4 linked regions of the Macaca fascicularis genome follow. The protein of the gene in region 1 binds, or shares a complex with, the protein of each later gene. Links are inferred from orthologs where the notes say so. Each region holds a gene or a part of one and is shown in the gene's direction. Other genes may lie near its edges.

What was found.
Region 2: the proteins of AXIN1 (region 1) and GSK3B are in contact, whole or in part, in a crystal structure (PDB 4B7T), measured with the Homo sapiens proteins. The link is inferred for Macaca fascicularis from reciprocal best matches to the Homo sapiens genes AXIN1 and GSK3B. Residues at the interface, in NP_003493.1 of Homo sapiens: Glu384, Pro385, Gln386, Phe388, Ala389, Glu391, Leu392, Ile393, Arg395, Leu396, Glu397, Val399, Gln400; in NP_001139628.1 of Homo sapiens: Ile228, Phe229, Val263, Asp264, Leu266, Val267, Ile270, Lys271, Asn287, Tyr288, Phe291, Lys292, Phe293, Pro294, Gln295, Ile296.
Region 3: the proteins of AXIN1 (region 1) and SIAH1 are in contact, whole or in part, in a crystal structure (PDB 5WZZ), measured with the Homo sapiens proteins. The link is inferred for Macaca fascicularis from reciprocal best matches to the Homo sapiens genes AXIN1 and SIAH1. Residues at the interface, in NP_003493.1 of Homo sapiens: Pro378, Lys379, Glu380, Val381, Arg382, Val383, Glu384, Pro385, Gln386, Lys387; in NP_003022.3 of Homo sapiens: Cys130, Pro131, Ser154, Thr156, Leu158, Asp162, Ile163, Val164, Phe165, Leu166, Ala167, Thr168, Asp169, Val176, Asp177, Trp178, Val179, Met180, Asn272.
Region 4: the proteins of AXIN1 (region 1) and DVL2 are in contact, whole or in part, in a crystal structure (PDB 6JCK), measured with the Homo sapiens proteins. The link is inferred for Macaca fascicularis from reciprocal best matches to the Homo sapiens genes AXIN1 and DVL2. Residues at the interface, in NP_003493.1 of Homo sapiens: Arg821, Tyr823, Lys825, Lys826, Glu830, Phe831, Val835, Val836, Phe837, Glu838, Glu839, Lys857, Glu859, Asp862; in NP_004413.1 of Homo sapiens: Lys15, Ile17, Tyr18, Glu23, Glu24, Thr25, Pro26, Tyr27, Leu28, Val29, Val46, Leu47, Gln48, Arg49, Pro50, Phe81, Arg84.

The regions. Positions count from the first base shown.
Region 1 is NC_088394.1:1,039,808-1,044,818, reverse strand, and holds the end of AXIN1 (axin-1), read left to right. Parts: intron 1-506; coding exon 507-614; intron 615-2,158; coding exon 2,159-2,326; intron 2,327-3,533; coding exon 3,534-3,660; 3' UTR 3,661-4,325; downstream 4,326-5,011. Other genes in the region: PDIA2 (protein disulfide-isomerase A2), read right to left, coding at 4,647-4,691, 4,814-4,924. UniProt on the Homo sapiens protein: Component of the beta-catenin destruction complex required for regulating CTNNB1 levels through phosphorylation and ubiquitination, and modulating Wnt-signaling.
Region 2 is NC_088376.1:163,084,928-163,089,886, forward strand, and holds the start of GSK3B (glycogen synthase kinase-3 beta), read left to right. Parts: upstream 1-1,793; 5' UTR 1,794-2,811; coding exon 2,812-2,899; intron 2,900-4,959. UniProt on the Homo sapiens protein: Constitutively active protein kinase that acts as a negative regulator in the hormonal control of glucose homeostasis, Wnt signaling and regulation of transcription factors and microtubules, by phosphorylating and inactivating glycogen synthase (GYS1 or GYS2), EIF2B, CTNNB1/beta-catenin, APC, AXIN1, DPYSL2/CRMP2, JUN, NFATC1/NFATC, MAPT/TAU and MACF1.
Region 3 is NC_088394.1:44,266,297-44,269,989, reverse strand, and holds the end of SIAH1 (E3 ubiquitin-protein ligase SIAH1), read left to right. Parts: intron 1-932; coding exon 933-1,783; coding exon of another isoform or gene 1,784-1,886; 3' UTR 1,887-2,857; downstream 2,858-3,693. Other genes in the region: LONP2 (lon protease homolog 2, peroxisomal), read right to left, coding at 1,767-1,886. UniProt on the Homo sapiens protein: E3 ubiquitin-protein ligase that mediates ubiquitination and subsequent proteasomal degradation of target proteins.
Region 4 is NC_088390.1:7,280,466-7,285,542, reverse strand, and holds the start of DVL2 (segment polarity protein dishevelled homolog DVL-2), read left to right. Parts: upstream 1-1,661; 5' UTR 1,662-1,916; coding exon 1,917-2,110; intron 2,111-5,077. Other genes in the region: PHF23 (PHD finger protein 23), read left to right, coding at 1-245, 337-551.

The DNA.
Region 1 (5,011 bases):
CGCCCAGTGCACCCCGGTGGAGGTGTCCACGTGAGAGGAGCTGCCGTGCTGCCCCAGGATGGCCTCAGTTGTGGCGCCGGGGGGCTCTCAGCCTCCCTGAGGTGCAGACAGAGTTGCCACACCCCAGAGCCAGTGTCCACGCCATTGGTGGGGAATTCATGCCAGAGACCCAAGGACAGGCTCTCGGGAGGAGATGGCGTCCCACCAGAGGGGATGAGGTGGTAGGATCCCAGGACCCCAGATCAGAAGCTCCCCAAAGTGCGGTCTGGGGAACAGGGGGGTTGGTACCCAGATCGTGAGTGTGGAGTGTGCTGCAGTGTCTGGCACCACTGAGGCCTAGGAGGGGGTTTGGTGTCTTGTCCACCCTGCAAACTGGAGCCTTCACGGGGCAGGTTGTACAGCCCCTTCATGCTCCGTCTGTCCCTGCGCGGCAGCATTGGTCGAGGCTCCTTCCCCAGGGCTGGTGGCCGCCGGCGCAGCCACCATTGACGCGGGTTGTTCCCTAGGTATGTGCAGGAGGTTATGCGGCGGGGACGCGCCTGCGTCAGGCCAGCGTGCGCGCCAGTGCTGCGCGTGGTACCAGCCGTGTCGGACATGGAGCTCTCCGAGACAGAGTACGTGCGTCCTGAGGGTCCTCCTGGTCCTGCCCACCCAGCCCAGGCGTCTCAAGCCAGGTCCCATGGTAGAGCTGCCGTCCTGGGGCCTGAGCTCAGGTACCACGCTGAGAAGCAGCTGTGGCAGGAGAGGGTCCCACGGCATCAGACTCCAAGCTGCCCAAGAGCCTTCTCCCGTCTCCATCAGAGGAGATGCTGACTGTCCAGCATGACGATAAGTGACCAACAGGCCCGGCTGGAGGCCTGGGCACAGCCAGCCCTGTATCCACACAGGTGTCATGGGAGGCCCCTTGTGGGGCAGAGACCTACCCCTGCCCCTGGCCCCACCCGGCTTGGAACTGGCTGGTCCCCGCAGACCTGGCTTGAGCAGGGTCGGGGCTGCAGGTGTTGAGGTGCGCGAGGTGCGTCAGCTTGCAGTGTGGGTCTCAACTATGTGCGTCTGTCCAGTCCGTGCAGTCCGTGAGTCAGGGCTCTGCTCCCACCTGCAGTGCTGACCACTCCGAGCCCGTGAGAAAGGCTTACTGTGTCCATACCACGTGATCCCACATGGGCTGTGTCAGTGGCGCCTTTGTGTGCTCAAGGTGGCAGGAGGGGCATATCCCAAAAGGGGCCTTGAGAACAGGGGTCCCCCAGGCCTTACCAGGCTTGCCCCAGATGCAGGTTTGTTGTGGCTGTCATCCTCTAGGGGGTCTTGGAGGGGCCTTCACCCGTCCTTGGGGCAGCCCCCACATGTTGGCTCATTCTCCTATGGGCCTGGCTCCAGGGGGCTGCAAGGATGTGGCTCTGGGAGAAAGTCCAAGAATGCAGGTGGGTGGGGGCCCTGGTGTGCGAAGTGGACGGTCACCTGGCTGAGGTGGCCGTGAGGCCTTCCTGCCATGATGTCGACTCTGGCAGCCTCTAGTGCACGCAGCCAGCAGGAGGCCCGAGGCCTGAACCCCAGTGGGCCAGGGGCAGCTTCTGGAGTCATCTGAGGGACAGGTGGTGGCAGGGGAGCCAAGCAGAGGGTGTGAGTGGAAGCACAGCCCCTGTAAGAGGAGGGCCCAGCTCAGCCTGGGCAGGAGACGGTGCCAGCCCCACCCCCTCTGAAGGGCCTGCTGGCCGCACCCGCAACAGTCCTGGGACAGACTTCACTGTGGGGTCAGGCTCATCCAGAAATCGTGCATAGTTCTGTTTGTCCAATCCCTGCCCTTGAGATGTTTTTAAGGTTTGGGGGCCGTAGGTCTTCCTGGCATAGGAGCCATGCAGCCTGCCCTGCCATCCTAGAGGTGAGAGCTGCAGTGCGCCCAGTGGCCAGGCCCTGTCCAGTCGAGGGTGGGGCTGTGAGGCAGCGGGGAGACCTTTGTGCTGCCAGTGAGTGGAGTCAGACTCCACTGCTGGTGGAGTAGACCCCAGATTGAGATGCTGCGGCGGGGGGGCAGTGGGGCCTGGGGCCCCAGGTGTTTGCAGGCCTGCCCCACCCTTTGCTGGCAGCCTGAGGCCAGCAGGAGGCACCCTGTGGGACCTCAGTCCAAAACCAGGGACCACTGCTGCATCTCTTTCCCCAGGACGAGATCGCAGAGGAAGGCGGGCGGCGGGAGTGCCCAGCCGTGTGACAGCATCGTTGTGGCATACTACTTCTGTGGGGAGCCTATCCCCTACCGCACCCTGGTGAGGGGCCGCGCTGTCACCCTGGGCCAGTTCAAGGAGCTGCTGACCAAAAAGGGCAGCTACAGGTGAGTGTGAGGGCTGGGGTGCCCACTCCCTGCAGGGGTGCGTGGGTGCCCAGCAGTACGAAAAAGAGGGTTTCTAGCCAGGCATGGTGCCTCACTTCTGTAATCCTGGCATTTTGGGAGGCAGAGACCGGCAGATTGCCTGAGCTCAGGAGATCGAGACCAGCCTGGGTAACATGGTGAAATCCTCTCTCTACTAAAAATACAAAAGAAATTAGCCAGGCGTGGTGGCGGGTGCCTGTAATCCCATTTACTTGGGAGGCTGAGGCAGAATTGCTTGAACTCAGGAGACGGAGGTTGCAGTGAGCCGAGATCGCACCACTGCTCCCCAGAACTCCAGCCTGGATGACAGAGCGAGACTCCGTCTCTATCCAAAAAAAAAAAAAAAAAGGCTTTCCGGCTGTTTCAGCTCCTGTCCCTCATCTGCACCTACGCCAGTTCTCCAAGCCCTGGGCTGAGGATGGCCTCAGGCCTTCGGCCCCACAGGACTGAGAGGGTCCCTAAGGGACTCCTTCCAGGGCCCTCAGCTTCGGGGTGAGAAAACAGCCAGAGGCCCAGACAACAATGGTCTGAACCTTGTGTCGGGCTCCCCTGGGCCAGCCTTGTCTCTAGGCTCTGGATTCAGCTCCTTTTGCCCAACTGAAAAGCCAGGCCCCATCCTACCAACGTTCATTGGGCCTGGGCCCCTCAGCCCTGAGGGCCTGCCTGCAGCCAGTCTTGGAGGCTCCTGAGTGAGCACTGGGGGGTGAGCAGAGGGGGCCTGACCACAAGAGCCTGGCAGAGGTGGTTCCCTCTGTCCACAAGCGACTGCAGACACCCGTGGACTGTGTCTGCAGATGTGGTGCTGAGGGAGGGCCCCAGTCGGGGTCACTTCCATGACAGGGCTCAGCCCTTGGGAAGCAGATACCCCACACCCATCCACTTCCCCCCTGCACCTCCTGAGAGGCTGGGGCAGGTACTCCTAGGGGGCTGTAGGGTGCCTCCCAGCAGGCAGTAAACTCACCCCCTGTAGCTGCCACTTCACCCACATGCGGTCATTGCACTGTTCACTGTTGCCCTGGGAGGGGCGCACGTGGTGGGAGTGGTGGGGGCGGTGGGGCATGGACAGGAGGCTCCTGGGGATGGGGGTGTGGACACGCCGTCCCCGCCACAGGCCTCCTCCCATCTGCGGCACTGCCTGCTCACTGTGCTCCTCACCTCCATCCTGCAGATACTACTTCAAGAAAGTGAGCGACGAGTTTGACTGTGGGGTGGTGTTCGAGGAGGTTCGAGAGGATGAGGCCGTCCTGCCCGTCTTTGAGGAGAAGATAATTGGCAAAGTGGAGAAGGTGGACTGACCAGCTGGCGGGCTGACCGCTGCACCAGGCGAGGCCCTCGGTGGGCACAGGTGTCACAGCCAGGCGGATGACCTCGTACTCAGGAGCCCGATAGAGAACAGCGTGGGGGCGCCGCCCACCCCTGCAGTCTGACCGTGTCTGGGTGGGTAGGGGTCCCTCCGCGTGGTCCACAGGCTTCTGTCCTGCCCCCGAGGAGGCAGCCGGACACTCCCCATAGCAATACTTGGAGGGCCTAGCCCAAGTGGGGCAGCCAGGGTCCCTGCTGCCGGCTTCAAGCGACGCCCCGGCGCCTCCCCTGGGCACGTGTGCTGGGATCTGTTTTTCCCTCTGGGATTTGCCCACGTACCCTGGTCTGGCTGGGCGCAGCCCCAGGCCTGGGCGCAGAGGCCTGCAGGGCCTCTGTCAATTGTACTCGCCACCGAGTGCCTTCAACACAGCTTGTCTCTTGCCTGCCACTGTGTGAGCCGGCGACGGGGTACTGCACCTGCCTCCAGCTGCCGGCTGCGCGGTCCCGGGTCCTCCTTTCTGAGGGCCCATGTAAATATGTACATTTCTCAGGCCAGGGCCAGCAGGGGCTGCCCAGGTCTGTTTTTCATGCGATGACACTTGTACAATTATCTTTTCAAAGGTACTTGGATAATAAATAAAACTGTTTTTGAACCTGCCCTGGCTGTGGTGTGTCTGCTGCCAGTGGGGCCTGGCCTGGGTCTCCCAGCCTCAGCCCCTGTGGTTAAGGTCATGCTGGCCTCCAGCAGGCATGGGGGTCGTCCTGTGACTCAGAGGCTGGCCAAGCTAGAGCATGAACGTGCTCCACCTTCCTTCCCAGGAGCCCGCGTCTGGGCAGAGCTGCATCAGGCCAGCCTTGCTGAGGGATCAGGCACACACAGTCCAGAACCAAGCTCTTTATTCACAATGCACAGCTCCCTCCAGCACCCAAGGAGGTGCCCTCCTGTCCAGCGGTGAGGAGGGGAGTGACACGGGGGTAGCTACAGCTCCTCCTTGGACCCCACGGTTGAGTTGGCCCGTGGCTCCTAGAACGGGTCACAAGTACAGCTCGGAGCTCTGCTCCCAGCCTACCCCTGCCCCCGCCCCACCAGCCCCGTGTAAAGACGGTTTGTGCAGAGGCCTGGAGCCCTGGCTTAGGGACACCCACCGGGAACGGGGCTGCCGGCTCCTCCGTGGGCTCCTCCGTGGGCACCGCGCCCCCGTTGTCCAGGAACTTGGACAAGGTCTCCAGGTCCCTGGCGCTTTTATATTCAATCACCTGAGGAGAGGCAGGAGGCTCTGGAGGACAGGCCAGGCCCAGCCCCATGCCCAGGAGGATGGCATCCCAGCTTCCCCAGGCACCTGT
Region 2 (4,959 bases), on another chromosome or scaffold:
TGCTTTACTTGTCTGGCCTCTATAGCCATCTGAATCTGCAAACACTATCTGGACCTTTCCTGTCTTCCATCAAAGCTTACTTTGTTCTGTCCCAAGTCCTTCATCAGTGTTTCAAAGCAAGAGCCAGGTAATCTGATCAAATTTAGGTCCTTTTACTTGTGCTTTCTGGAGACAGTATCCTAACTGAAAGAGATGATTCTGCAGGTAGAAATTACAGGAAACACTGGATTACAATCAGGATGGCAACTGTCTGTTCTACTTTCTCTCTCTTGACGTAGCCATACCTCACTGTTCTAAAGCAGACCAAAGGAACTGGTTCTATCGTAGAACAATGGACGCTGGTCTTACATATGAAATCTATTCAAGCTGCACTTTTATAGATCACCCTAATTCCAAAAGATCCAAAACTACCACGGGCTCCTCTAACCCCCCATTTCCTTGGAGGCTTCAGGATATCCGGCCTGACGGCATTTCCCCTCACCTGCTTTCGGGGCCCGTTTTGCGCTGGGCAGTTGCGCCCAAGGAGCGCGCGCATCCAGCATGAGCTCATTTCTCATGGGCGTTTCCAGAGGCCCGGCCGGGCCGCGCACACCAAGCGCAGCGGGCCTCTCTATCAATGGCCCCCGAGGCTGGGCGGGGCGCGGCCGCCCAAAGAAGCTTTGTTCCCATTTTAGCGTCTGAGAGCTTGCTGCCGGCTGGGAAGGCCCCCTTTGTCCGTCAGGCCCTTTCGGGGAAGAGGCCGACACCCGGCACACGCGATCCAGGGCAGAGGAGAGCCTTAGGCGCGCAGAATTGGCTGCGCCCCGCCGAGAGCCTCCTGTGGATGGGGAGAACCCCTCGACCCCTCTGCTCGCTTGAGCGCTTAGAACCCAGCGCCGCCGACCGCAGCACTTTCCGATTTGCTGCGCCTAGGGCAGGCGGTCCCTATTTGCGGTTTCCACCGTAGTTGGAGGCCGCAGGCGAGCCGTCGGGTCGTCAGCCACGACCCTAGTCGGGCATCTCCCAGGTCCTGGGACGAAGGCCGAAGGCCAATCACACCGCAGCTAGGTCTTGCGATTGGACGGCAGTGAGAGCCGATTGGCCACCGCCGCGAGTTTCGAGCTCCACCCTCTCCCTTTTGCCCCAACTCCAGCGCCTAAGCTTCCGGCCAATGAGACGGCGCTTTATAGACGCCCTCCCTTCGCTTTCTTTTCCCCACCTTGGAGAGGGAGGGGGAGTCCTGACTGGCCAAACTGTCCTCGGAAGCCCCCTTCCCTTCACCAATCACCGAGGGAGGTACGCTCCCAGCGGAGTTTTCCAGCCAATTACAAAGCGGCGGCGGCGCCCAACCGTGCAGTTTCACCAGCGTCTCTGGGTTTCACCGTCTTCAACTCTTCAAGCTTTTTCGTGAGGGCCGGCGACTCTGATTGGCCACTGTTGCCATTGTCGAATGTCTCCTCCAGCCAGCCACCGAACCAGGCGAAATCACCCTTTCCGTTCGGCTGCCTTCGGCATTTTCCGCTCTTTGGGCGTGGCTTTCCAGCGTCACTTTCTAATTGGTTTCTCAGGCCGATCGGCTTTTTCCGGGAGGAGCCGCAAACAAACGACGTCCGTGATTGGCTCCGTTCGGGCTTCGGCTCCCAGCCGAAGCGGGCGAGAGTGGGGCTCGGGCGGCGATTCCCAGACGCCTGTTACGCGGGCGGCGGTGCGCTGGGCGGTGTAAGGCTGGGTGGGGGAGGAAGGAGGTGGAGGAAGAGTAGGAAGGGGGAGGGGGAGTGGGGAAGTGCAAGGCGGCTGCGCAGACAGCGCTTCTCACACAGAGCAGCCCCTGACCCGGGCGAATGCGGGCTTGTGCCGCCGCTGCCGCCGCCGCCCGGGCCGAGTGACAAAGGAAGGAAGGAAGGAAGGAAGCGAGGAGGAGCCGGCCCCGCAGCCGCTGACAGGGTTCTGGGCTGGGGGCAAAGCGCGGACACTTCCTGAGCGGGCACCGAACAGAGGCGAGGGGCGGGAGGGCGGCCGAGCTGTTGCCGCGGACGGGGGAGGGGGCCCCGAGGGACGGAAGCGGTTGCCGGGTTCCCATGTCCCCGGCGTATGGGGAGCAGTCGAGGAGCCGCTGCCTGGGGTCTGAAGGGAGCTGCCTCCGCCACCGCCGCCGCCATGGCCGCTGGATCCAGCCGCCGCCTGCAGCTGCTCCTGGCGCAATGAGGAGAGGAGCCGCCGCCACCGCCCGCCTCTGACTGACTCGCGACTCCGCCGCCCTCCAGTTCGCCGGGCCCCCGCCGTCAGCCCGCCGGATCCCACGGCTGCCGGAGCTGCAGCGTTTCCCGTCGCATCTCCGAGCCACCCCCTCCCTCCCTCTCCCTCCCTCCTACCCATCCCCCTTTCTCTTCAAGCGTGAGACTCGTGATCCTTCCGCCGCTTCCCTTCTTCATTGACTCGGAAAAAAAATCCCCGAGGAAAATATAATATTCGAAGTACTCATTTTCAATCAAGTATTTGCCCCTGTTTCACGTGATACATATTTTTTTAGGATTTGCCCCTTCTTTTCTCTCCTCCCAGGAAAGGGAGGGGAAGGAATTGTATTTTTTCCCCAGCCGTAAATCATCTATATGTTAAATATCCGTGCCGATCTGTCTTGAAGGAGAAATACATCGCTTGTTTTGTTTTTTATAGTATACAAAAGGAGTGAAAAACCAAGAGGACGAAGTCTTTTTCTTTTTCTTCTGTGGGAGAACTTAATGCTGCATTTATCATTAACCTAACACCCCAACATAAAGACAAAAGGAAGAAAAGGAGGAAGGAAGGAAAAGGTGATTCGCGAAGAGAGTGATCATGTCAGGGCGGCCCAGAACCACCTCCTTTGCGGAGAGCTGCAAGCCGGTGCAGCAGCCTTCAGCTTTTGGCAGCATGAAAGTTAGCAGTGAGTATTGATTTTATTTTACGCCCCTTTTCCACTTCGCCCTTAAAATAAGAAATCTCGGAATACCAGGATCTGAAAATATTAGACTTCCTAATATAACAAACAAGCAATGGAAAAGGGCAAAACCTATCTTCAGTCAAGGATGAAGCAGCTCCCTCTTTACTCCTCCCATACCCCCTCCCCCGGTCTCATTAACCTTGAATTGAGATAATATGATTTTTATTTGGATGATTCGATTTGAAACTGCTTTCTTATACTTTTCTTGCTGTTGGTAGTCAGTTTCATCAAGTGCTTGAGTGTTTCCACGTTAGTGATGACCGTGTTTACTTGCCCATCCTTTAGAATAAAGAGAAGGACAAGATTTGATTAATAAACCATTGTGCACATTTGCAGAATGTATGTCTTTTGGAATAAGAGGGTATTTTAGGTCTCAGGATTTATCATAGTTTGGTATACTTAATAGAGACATTAAACGTCCCACCCTCCCAACATTTTTTTCTTGTCTGTATGACTACACATAGTATTTGTTCTTAATCTGTGGATGAACTTGCTCAGTAACCATTCACATTTGGAGGCTGTCATTGATTTCTCTCTTTAGAAGGGACTAGTGGGAGCCAATAAATACCCAGCAGCAGTAGCATCTCTGTATGCATTTGTGTTCGATTGGATTAGTGGTTTGATGTGTTCTCTCTTAACCTTCCTGTTTTGACATTACCAACCTGCCACCGTATAATTTATATTTAATCAAAAGGTAACATGGAAGTATTAATAGGTCCAGGTTTTGATTGAGATTTGTTTTGTCATAGTGCCAAATAGTAAGTTAAATGTTGTCACTGGCTCATTACATTTAAGTTCAATTTTGGAGTACTGTTGCGCTCCTGTTAAATGTTCTGGGGGGTTCCTTAAAAAGGACGATTTAAAATACTCTTGCGTTAGTTTCCATCACATTTAGATAACTGTGGATTTAGTTAGAAGAATGTGGATTTAGTCCTTTCCATTTTGGCTTTTGCAGATGGCTGTGGTCCTGCAAATAATAGGGATATTTGGACTGTGTTCAGGGTTGTAGATAGACTACTCTTGTCCTGGGTTTGTGCTGAGAAGTATGCTTTTGAATGTTTAGTATATACTAAGTATCTAATGTTCCAGTGTATCTCTATTTATGGAGAAGTTCATGTGGTGTTTAATGACAGCTTGTTTAAACATACTTTCAGAATTTAACAAAAATATCTATGTTGTTTCCTTATTGTGGGAAAGAGGGTCATCATGAGGGCAAAGAAATTACTGTGTTGCTTAGAAGAACGAAGAGAACTAAAAAACTGAGATTTTAAGAACTGACACACACAAAAAACATGTATGTTATGTGAAATTGATTATATTCTTAGGCAACATAAAATGATCACTTTTAGTTGAACTCAAGATTTCATTTCGTGTTGGCTTTGGGAACTAGCCTGAAACAGGGTAGTCTAGGTAATAGCTGAATGGGAGATTATTTTTCAAAGTTAATTTTTTTTTTCCCCCGGTGGTTTGCAAGTAGAGAATGCCGGGGTAGGAAAAGAGGACAGCTGATTATGCATCTTTCAGGGAAGGGTCGTGCTTTCTAAGCGCTTCATGGAGTCATTTGAAAAATATTTTAAAATTCCGGGGTAATTTTCAGCTATGATGATACAAATCTTATAATAACTACTTAAGAGCCTCTTGTGGTACTGGAGTGTTTGTATGTTTTACATCTTGGTAATATAGTTTGAAAACCAGTCAATCAATTTCAGCTAATTGATTTATTAGCTTTATTTCAGAGATCTATAATGCTAGATTATAATGCTACATTTTGGGACTTTTCATTTTCTTTCCAGGATTTTCTTTGAAATGACTTTTGAATTTTTGATAATGCAGATACTAAGGATGGAGTAACTCTTGTAAAATATATAGATGAAAATGTTTATTTTCCGATTACCGTATAGGTCAATTTAGAATTTAAAAAGTTGGAGTTTAGTGTTAATTATGTGTTTTTGACAGCTTTGACTTTAAAAACATTTAAAAGAAAGGGGAGTCTTTAAGCATTT
Region 3 (3,693 bases), about 43 Mb from region 1:
CCTGGCTGATGATAATTTGGGGGGAAGACTTAATTAGGTAAAGATGGATAATGGGATGGCAGCAGACCTTTCCCCTTGTGACCCCTCCCCTCATTCCCAAAGTACACCTCTAGAGTAGATAATGGTTTACCATTAAGAAGAGTTAATGGAAGGTTCTCTGATTCTTTGGCATTGGAACTACACTTGTCCTGCGGTATCCTCGGAAGATTAGTTCTAGGACCCCCTTCCCCATACCAAAACCTGAGGATGCTCAAGTCCCTGATAGAAAATGGTGTCGTATATGTATGTGCATATTCTCCTGTATAATTTAAATTATCTCTGGATTACTTAATACAATGTAAATAATACGTAAATAGTTGTTATAGACTGTATTTTAAAAATTTTGTATTATTTGTAAATTTTTCTGAATATTTTCAATCCATGGCTGTGGTGAAGTCCTTGGATGCAGACCGTGTGAATACAGAGTGCCGATTTTATCCAGGACTTCACCTGTAACTCCCTATACCTATCAATAGCTGACTCCAAATTAGAAAGAAATAAGAGTAAGGGAGTCTCAGGGAGAGAGTCCTAGCAAAACGGATTCGATTAAACTTCAGTTCCTTGTATAGTTTCTCTAGTTGTTTATGGTCCATCTTCTATTTTAGCATTTATTATTCCATGTAGTCTATCCAAAGACGATTAAGGGAGTTCCAAATGTTTTCCGGAATATTTTGAAAAGAGAGCTTATCCAGTGTACAGATCCTAATAAAGTGCACATTCAGTGTAATTTTATTTTTTAGTATGTTACTTTTTAAATTCTATTTATTTTTCTTTCTCTTTTGCTCAGTAAATTTTGCATGAAACTTTAAGTACTTCTGGCATGTAAACATTATTTGTAAAATAAGTCATGGTTATAATTATTTTTCTCCTGCCTCCTTATGTATTTATTTCAGAAATGAGCCGTCAGACTGCTACAGCATTACCTACCGGTACCTCGAAGTGTCCACCATCCCAGAGGGTACCTGCCCTGACTGGCACAACTGCATCCAACAATGACTTGGCGAGTCTTTTTGAGTGTCCAGTCTGCTTTGACTATGTGTTACCACCCATTCTTCAATGTCAGAGTGGCCATCTTGTTTGTAGCAACTGTCGCCCAAAGCTCACATGTTGTCCAACTTGCCGGGGCCCTTTGGGATCCATTCGCAACTTGGCTATGGAGAAAGTGGCTAATTCAGTACTTTTCCCCTGTAAATATGCCTCTTCTGGATGTGAAATAACTCTGCCACACACAGAAAAAGCAGACCACGAAGAGCTCTGTGAGTTTAGGCCTTATTCCTGTCCGTGCCCTGGTGCTTCCTGTAAATGGCAAGGCTCTTTGGATGCTGTAATGCCCCATCTGATGCATCAGCATAAGTCCATTACAACCCTACAGGGAGAGGATATAGTTTTCCTTGCTACAGACATTAATCTTCCTGGTGCTGTTGACTGGGTGATGATGCAGTCCTGTTTTGGCTTTCACTTCATGTTAGTCTTGGAGAAACAGGAAAAATACGATGGTCACCAGCAGTTCTTTGCAATTGTACAGCTGATAGGAACACGCAAGCAAGCTGAAAATTTTGCTTACCGACTTGAGCTAAATGGTCACAGGCGACGATTGACTTGGGAAGCGACTCCTCGATCTATTCATGAAGGAATTGCAACAGCCATTATGAATAGCGACTGCCTAGTCTTTGACACCAGCATTGCACAGCTTTTTGCAGAAAATGGCAATTTAGGCATCAATGTAACTATTTCCATGTGTTGAAATGGCAATCAAACATTTTCTGGCCAGTGTTTAAAACTTCAGTTTCACAGAAAATAAGGCACCCATCTGCCTGCCAACCTAAAATTCTTTTGGTAGGTGGAAGCTAGACACATGAAGGTAAATGAAAGGAAAGGCTGTTAAATACAGGAAACAGTTGCATGTAGTAACACTAATATATTTAAAAATAAGTCAACAGTAAACCACTGAAAAAATATATGTATATACACCCAAGATGGGCATCTTTTGTATTAAGAAAGGAAGCATTGTAAAATAATTCTGAGTTTTGTGTTTGTTGTAGATTGATTGTATTGTTGAAAAATAGTTATTTTGTTTTGTTTTTGCGTGGGAGTGTGTGCGTGCGTGGGTGTGTGCGTGTTTGGGTTTTTCTCCTTTAACTGACAAGCCATCTTGAGTGGTCATGGGCCACTGCTTTTCCCCTTTGTGAGTCAATACATAGTGCTGCTGTGTGCTTTTTTGTGTGTGTATTTGCTAATTTTTATTAATTTTAGTTTTTCATTAAATAAATTTGACTTTCCTTTCTGTAATTCAGGTTTTTCTTCACTTTTTTTGTACCATTTTAAAGTTAGTGTCTTTTGATATGCATACTTGTTATGGTAAAAGTTTGTAACATGTGTTCAATATTTTCTTTTCCCCCATTAATCAGTTCATTAGAAATATTTTAAAATCAGCTACTTTGTGAAGCTATGAGTTCCAGAAAGTAAAGGTGACATCGGAAAAATGATCAAAAGCTATTTAAAGCATCTGTAAGATGGTCTCTCTCTTTCTCTCTTCTACGGATGAGTCACACCTTTGAGCTTAATCTTTGAAAGGTTAGAGAATAAATTGATTTTTATAAGTACTGCAAATCAGGCTTTTGTTTCCTTTTTCAAATATCTTGGATAAATCACATGTTTAAAATTTGTTCTTGTATTTATTGGTTTTGCAAAAGAAGGCATCGTCATGCACAGTATTTGTAATTAAAAGCAAATCATTTGTTTAAAAAGGCAGTTTGCAAAAAAATGTTTTTGGTCTTTTATAATTCTCATTAAAAGAATTTCTGGCAAATTAAAAAAATCTTACTGTGTCTGCTTTAGCTCTAAGTTTGATAAAATCCAAAGTTATTTTCCTGTTTCATTCCGTACTTTAATTATATAGCAGAAAGCTGTGTGTTGTCATTTTTAAGTGTGGTAGAGTTATACTCTAAATCACAGCAAATAACTGGGTATATGGCTTCTGGATTACAGTCTTTCCCATGCTCTGCCCCTCTTGCCCACATTTTGATTCTTACAACTGTCAGGAGAATGACTAAAATGCTGACCACTTTTCACCTCTTTAAAAAAGCACAATGAAATAATAAATTTACTATTTCATAGCCTAGTGGTTAAGAGCCTTGGTTCTGCAGCCAGACTTCAGGCACCTAAGTGCCAGTCTCGGCTCTACCCCACTAACCAGCTGTGTGACCTTGGGCCCCAGTTTCCTAATGTGTAAAGTGGGGTTAAATTATGGTAGCTACTTAAAAAGTTTTAATGGGGTACAGGTATGTTACCTCAAACAGTGCTTTGTTCATATCAGCATCCAGTGAATGTTAGCTACCATTATGCCTTTAGTACCATGTAGTTAACTTGCTAATTACTTTGAGGCACATGGCAAGATTCTGAAATTGCCTTCTGAATAGTGAAAGATAATTTTGTGTGGTTTGTATTGGTACTGTAAGCCTAGAAAGTTAATGAAAATTTGGACTTCACCCTTATCCCACCACTGATTCTGGATAATTTTGGATAAGAGTTTATTTCTATTATCCATTTTCAGAAAAGATGATTGTGTAGTCTCATCCTTATGTCAATATTATCTTTTGAACTGGTTATAATGTGCTTGTGGAGCCTTTGTTCTTTTTTTTTTTGAGACGGAGT
Region 4 (5,077 bases), on another chromosome or scaffold:
GGAGGAAGAGGAAGAGGAAGAAGAGGAAGAGATGGCAACAGTGGTAGGGGGTGAAGCCCCAGCCCCTGTGCTCCCAACACCCCCCGAGGCTCCTAGGCCCCCTGCCACAGTGCACCCTGAAGGAGTCCCTCCTACTGACAGTGAAAGCAAGGAGGTGGGCAGCACTGAAACAAGCCAAGATGGAGATGCCAGCTCCAGTGAAGGCGAGATGCGGGTCATGGATGAGGACATCATGGTAGAATCAGGTGAGAGGTTTGGGCTGGGGCGAGGGGTTTGAGGGTGTTGTGGATCCAACAACTGCTCAGGCAGAATACCAAACAAACCTTTTTTCCCCAGGTGATGACTCATGGGATCTGATCACGTGTTACTGTCGAAAGCCCTTTGCAGGGCGGCCCATGATTGAGTGCAGCCTGTGTGGGACGTGGATCCACCTCTCCTGTGCTAAGATTAAGAAGACCAACGTCCCTGACTTCTTTTATTGCCAGAAATGCAAGGAACTGAGGCCAGAGGCCCGGCGGTTAGGGGGGCCTCCCAAATCTGGAGAGCCCTGACGGCACCAACTTTAGCCTGGAACTTCCAAATGATAACATGATTTGGGAACTGAGCCTCAGGGTCCTCAGCCTACCCCCTGGAGCTTGGATACTGTCCGCACTTCAAGGCAGGAATTCCCAAGGGAGACTTGTTTGAAAATGAGTGTCTCACTTGCCTACCCTATCCGTCCTCCCCACTCTGAACTTGAAATTGAACCCATTACGGTTGCGGGTGGGAGGCTGTCTGTGTCTCTAGACACATAATCTCTGTCTCTTGGACCTGCCACCATCACTTTCTGGGTCAGGATTGGAATTGGGATGGAATGGGACAGTTGTCTATAAAACTCTAGTGTAAATATTAGCACTCCCCTCCCTCATCTTTTCTTCTATTTCACTCCCCATTTATTTTCTTCTACACCGGTTGTATTTTTAATTTTGGACTTCCCCTACTGGGCATGGCAGCTCAAAGGTGGAGTACTAGAGCCTGGCCAAGCAAGGAAGGAAAGCAGAAAGGTGACGATTCTCACTCACCTCTTTTGTTTTTAATAATATTGGCCGCTGTTTGTACAGACAGCCTGCGTGTTGTAAATAAAGCAGAGTGGGCTCTTTTGTGTTTATAGCCCTCACTGTCCTGCTTGGGAGGGAGGCTTTGGTGGCTGAAGACTAGCTGGACGTGGTGCTGAAAGCCACCTCTCACAGTCCAGTCTGAAGATGGCACAGCACTGGGCCTCTCCCACCCCAAGATACTTGAGTAAGCCACCTCAGAGCTTTCATTGTATTTGGCCCTCCCCACTCGAGTCTAGGAACCCCCACAATCCCCACCTTCACTCCCTGCACGCACACTCCTGAGGGTCAGAGTTGCTTCGCGCTCCCGCCGGTGTGGGGTAAAGCCGGGTGGGAGCCGACTGTCCGCTTCCTGAGGGCACAGGCCAGCTTATCCTGGGTGCTCCGAGGACCTCGGCTGGGGTACACCTTTGGGGGCTGGGAGACCGTTGCCGAAGGCAGCGATCACGTGGCGGGGGCACTAGGAGGAGTCACGCGGTCACGTGACTGGGAGGGGTCACGTGACGGGGGCGGCTGAAGAGCGCGGGGTGGGCGGGCTTAGGTCACGTGACATGAGGAGAGGTGGGCGGGGACCTGGAGGACGCTCGCGTTGTCGGTGGCGGTGGCGCGCGGCGGCCGCTGAGACCGCGGCTTTGAGTCGCACCTCGCGGCCCGCCCCCCGCCGCCACCCTTGCCGACCCCTGCTTTTTTCCCTTTGCTTCTCTCCAGTACTGGGTCCGTCCTGTCCGCGCTCGCTCGTCGGTTTGCGGGTGTGCGCAGGCGCGGCAGGGGCCATTAGCCCCTTGGGTGGGCGGTGGAGCCCGGGAGCGCGCGGGCGAGACCATGGCGGGCAGCAGCGCTGGGGGCGGTGGGGTTGGGGAGACGAAGGTGATTTACCACCTGGATGAGGAAGAGACTCCATACCTGGTGAAGATCCCTGTCCCCGCCGAGCGCATCACCCTCGGCGATTTCAAGAGCGTCCTGCAGCGGCCCGCGGGCGCCAAGTACTTTTTCAAGTCTATGGATCAGGATTTCGGGTGAGCGCAAGGCCTAGATAGGACCGACGGGGGCTTTGCTAGAGTGGATTGGGCGACGTGGAGGGGCACACATCTACTTCGGGCCACACTAGGATTTTCTGGCCTGTGGTGGAGCAGATTGTACCATGCTGAGGTAGGTTGACTCTCCCAGGATGGACAAGGTTATGCTTGGATAGATTGAGGCACACGGGCAGACTAGGATATCCTAAACCAGATTAGAGACGATTAGGCTCTACTGGAATAGGTGGAGGCATACTGGTTTATTTTGGAGTGTTTTAGACTGTACTGAGTAAATTCATCTATCGTCTGGTCGTTTAGTACGTTCTCAGGAGTCCTGTAACGCCTGTAATCTCAGCACTTTGGGAGGCCGAGGCGGGCGGATCACGAAGTCAGGAGATCGAGACTATCCTGGCTAACACGGTGAAGCCCCATCTGTACTAACTAAAAATACAAAAAAATTAGCCGGGCGTGGTGGCGGGCGCCTGTAGTCCCAGCTACTTGGGAGGCTGAAGCAGGGAGAATCGCTTGAACCTGGGAGGCGGAGGTTGCAGTGAGCCGAGATCGCGCCACTGCACTCCAGCCTGGACGACAGTGCAAGACTCCATCTCCAAAAAAAAAAAAACACCAAAAAACAAAACAAAACAAACTTGGGCCATTATGGACTCTACTGGGCTGTATTGGTTAATCCTGGTTTATCTTGGGGCAAGACATGGTTTTATTGGAGCACTCAGTATGGGGGCAGACAAGGCTGTTGGTGCCCATGCTAGTACAGGTAGCTGTATTGGGGTATTCTAGTCTATATTGGTGCAGACAGCTGCGTGTGGGGACATTGTAGGCTGTGCTAGAATAGATTGGGCTATCCTAGGGTAATTTGGACATTCAGGGCTATCTTGGACTAGATTGGCATGTAAATAATGCAGAGAAAGCCCTTTTGTGTTTATGGTCTTTGGGGCTGAGCCCTCTCTGGGTCCTCAACCTCTGCTTTTTTTTTTTTTTTTTTTTTTTAAAGACAAGAGTCTCGCTCTGTCGCCCAGGCTGGAGTGCAGTGGCTGATTCTCGGTTCACTGCAAGCTCCGCCTCCCGGGTTCACGCCATTCTCCTGCCTCAGCCTCCCCACTAGCTGGGACTACAGGCACCCACCACCACACCTGGCTAATTTTTTGTATTTTTTAGTAGAGACGGAGTTTCACCGTGTTAGCCAGGATGGTCTCGATCTACTGACCTCATGATCGGACCGCCTCGGCCTCCCAAAGTGATGGGATTACAGGCGTGAGCCACTGCGCCCAGCCCAACCTCTGCTTTTTTGAAGGCAGGCTGGATTAAGTTGAGATAGCATGGGTTTTAGAAGAACTGAACAAACTGGACTCTAGCTAGAAAGATTGTTTGACATGGGAAGGGTGATACTATCTTGGGAGTTATCTTGGCTTTAAGTCAAGGTTCTTCTAGTTGTCAGCAGTGCAATCTTGGACAATTAATTTAAATTTTGTGTCTTGATCTCGTCTGTGACATGGAGAAAATCACAGAATGAAATGGTTAGTTCAGGTGTGTGGTACATGGTGAATTCTTGGTGAATGGTAATTGTCATTAGTATTGAGGCTGACTACTCTATAAAGGTTATGGTGATACACAGTAATTTGTCTTAAGAGTGGACTGAGCTATGCTGAGATTGTGTTATGTTGGGAAGAATCCTACATGATGCTGAGACAGATTGGTAGTGACTGGGCTGTGTTGTCACATTGACAGCAAATGGATTAAGTTGATATATATCCTGGCTCTTATGACCATATTAGGCTAATGGGTTAATTAGACAAGGTGTCCTAATTTGGCGGCAAGGGTGTGTGTGGAAAGAGAGAGAGAAACAACCAGGGCAGAGAGTCTGATGCTTTATATGTTTATTCATTTAGTTGACAGTATTTGTTAATGCCTAAGTGTCAGTGTGTGGTGTGTGGCCAGGACATGGTGTTGATCAGAGTAAGTGTTCATGGTTTGATGTCGTGGTCAAGAAGAAGGGGCAAGTCCAGTCCACCACAGGGAACCCATTGGAGAGATGACCCCAAGGCTGGGCTTTGGGATCTGTCAGGCTGAGCAGATTGCTTCGTGCCGAATTTTGTGCCAGATGAGGCACAGGGGAATGGGAGCGCCAGCTTGCTCTCTCCTTGGGAGCTTTCAGTCTAATGAGGAGCTTCCATTGTTTGTTTGATCTAATGGTGGGTGGTTTTGTTTTTTGTTGTTTTTTGTTTGTTTGAGGTGGAATCTCACTCTGTCGCCCAGGCTGGAGTGCAGTGGCGCAATCTCGGCTCACTGCAACCTCCGCCTCCTGAGTTCAAGCGATTCTCCTACTTCGGCTTCCGGAGTAGTTGGGATTATAGTGTGCACCACCGTGCCCGGCTCATTTTTGTATTTTTAGGAGAGACAGGGTTTCATCATGTTGGCCAGCTCCTGGCCTCAGGTAATCCACCCACTTTGGCCTCTCAAAGTGCTGGGATTACAGGTGTGAGCCACTATGCCTGGCCTCTAATGGGTGTTTTTACTCAAGAAAGGACAGTCTTCTGGAAATGAATTAGTGAAAACTAAAGGCAAGTATAAAAGTAGAGACTTGGTTGAGGACCGAAGCCTTTTTTTGGAAGGTTTTTTTTTTTTTTTTTTTTTTTTTTGAGACAGATTCTTGCTCAGCCGCCCAGGCTGGAGTGCAGTGGCACAGTCTTGGCTCACTGCAACCACTGTCTCCTGGGTTCAAGCAACTCTCCCGTCTCAGTCTCCTGAGTAGCTGGGATTATAGGCACCCACCATCATGCCTGGCTAATTTTTATATTTTAGTAGAGACGAGGTTTCACCATGTTGGCCAGGCTGGTCTTGAACTCCTGACCTCAGGTGATCCGCCCACCTCAGCCTCCCAAAGTTTTAGCATTACAGGCATGAGCCACCGTGCCCGGCCTTTTTGGAAGGTTTGTAAGGAACAGGGATGGG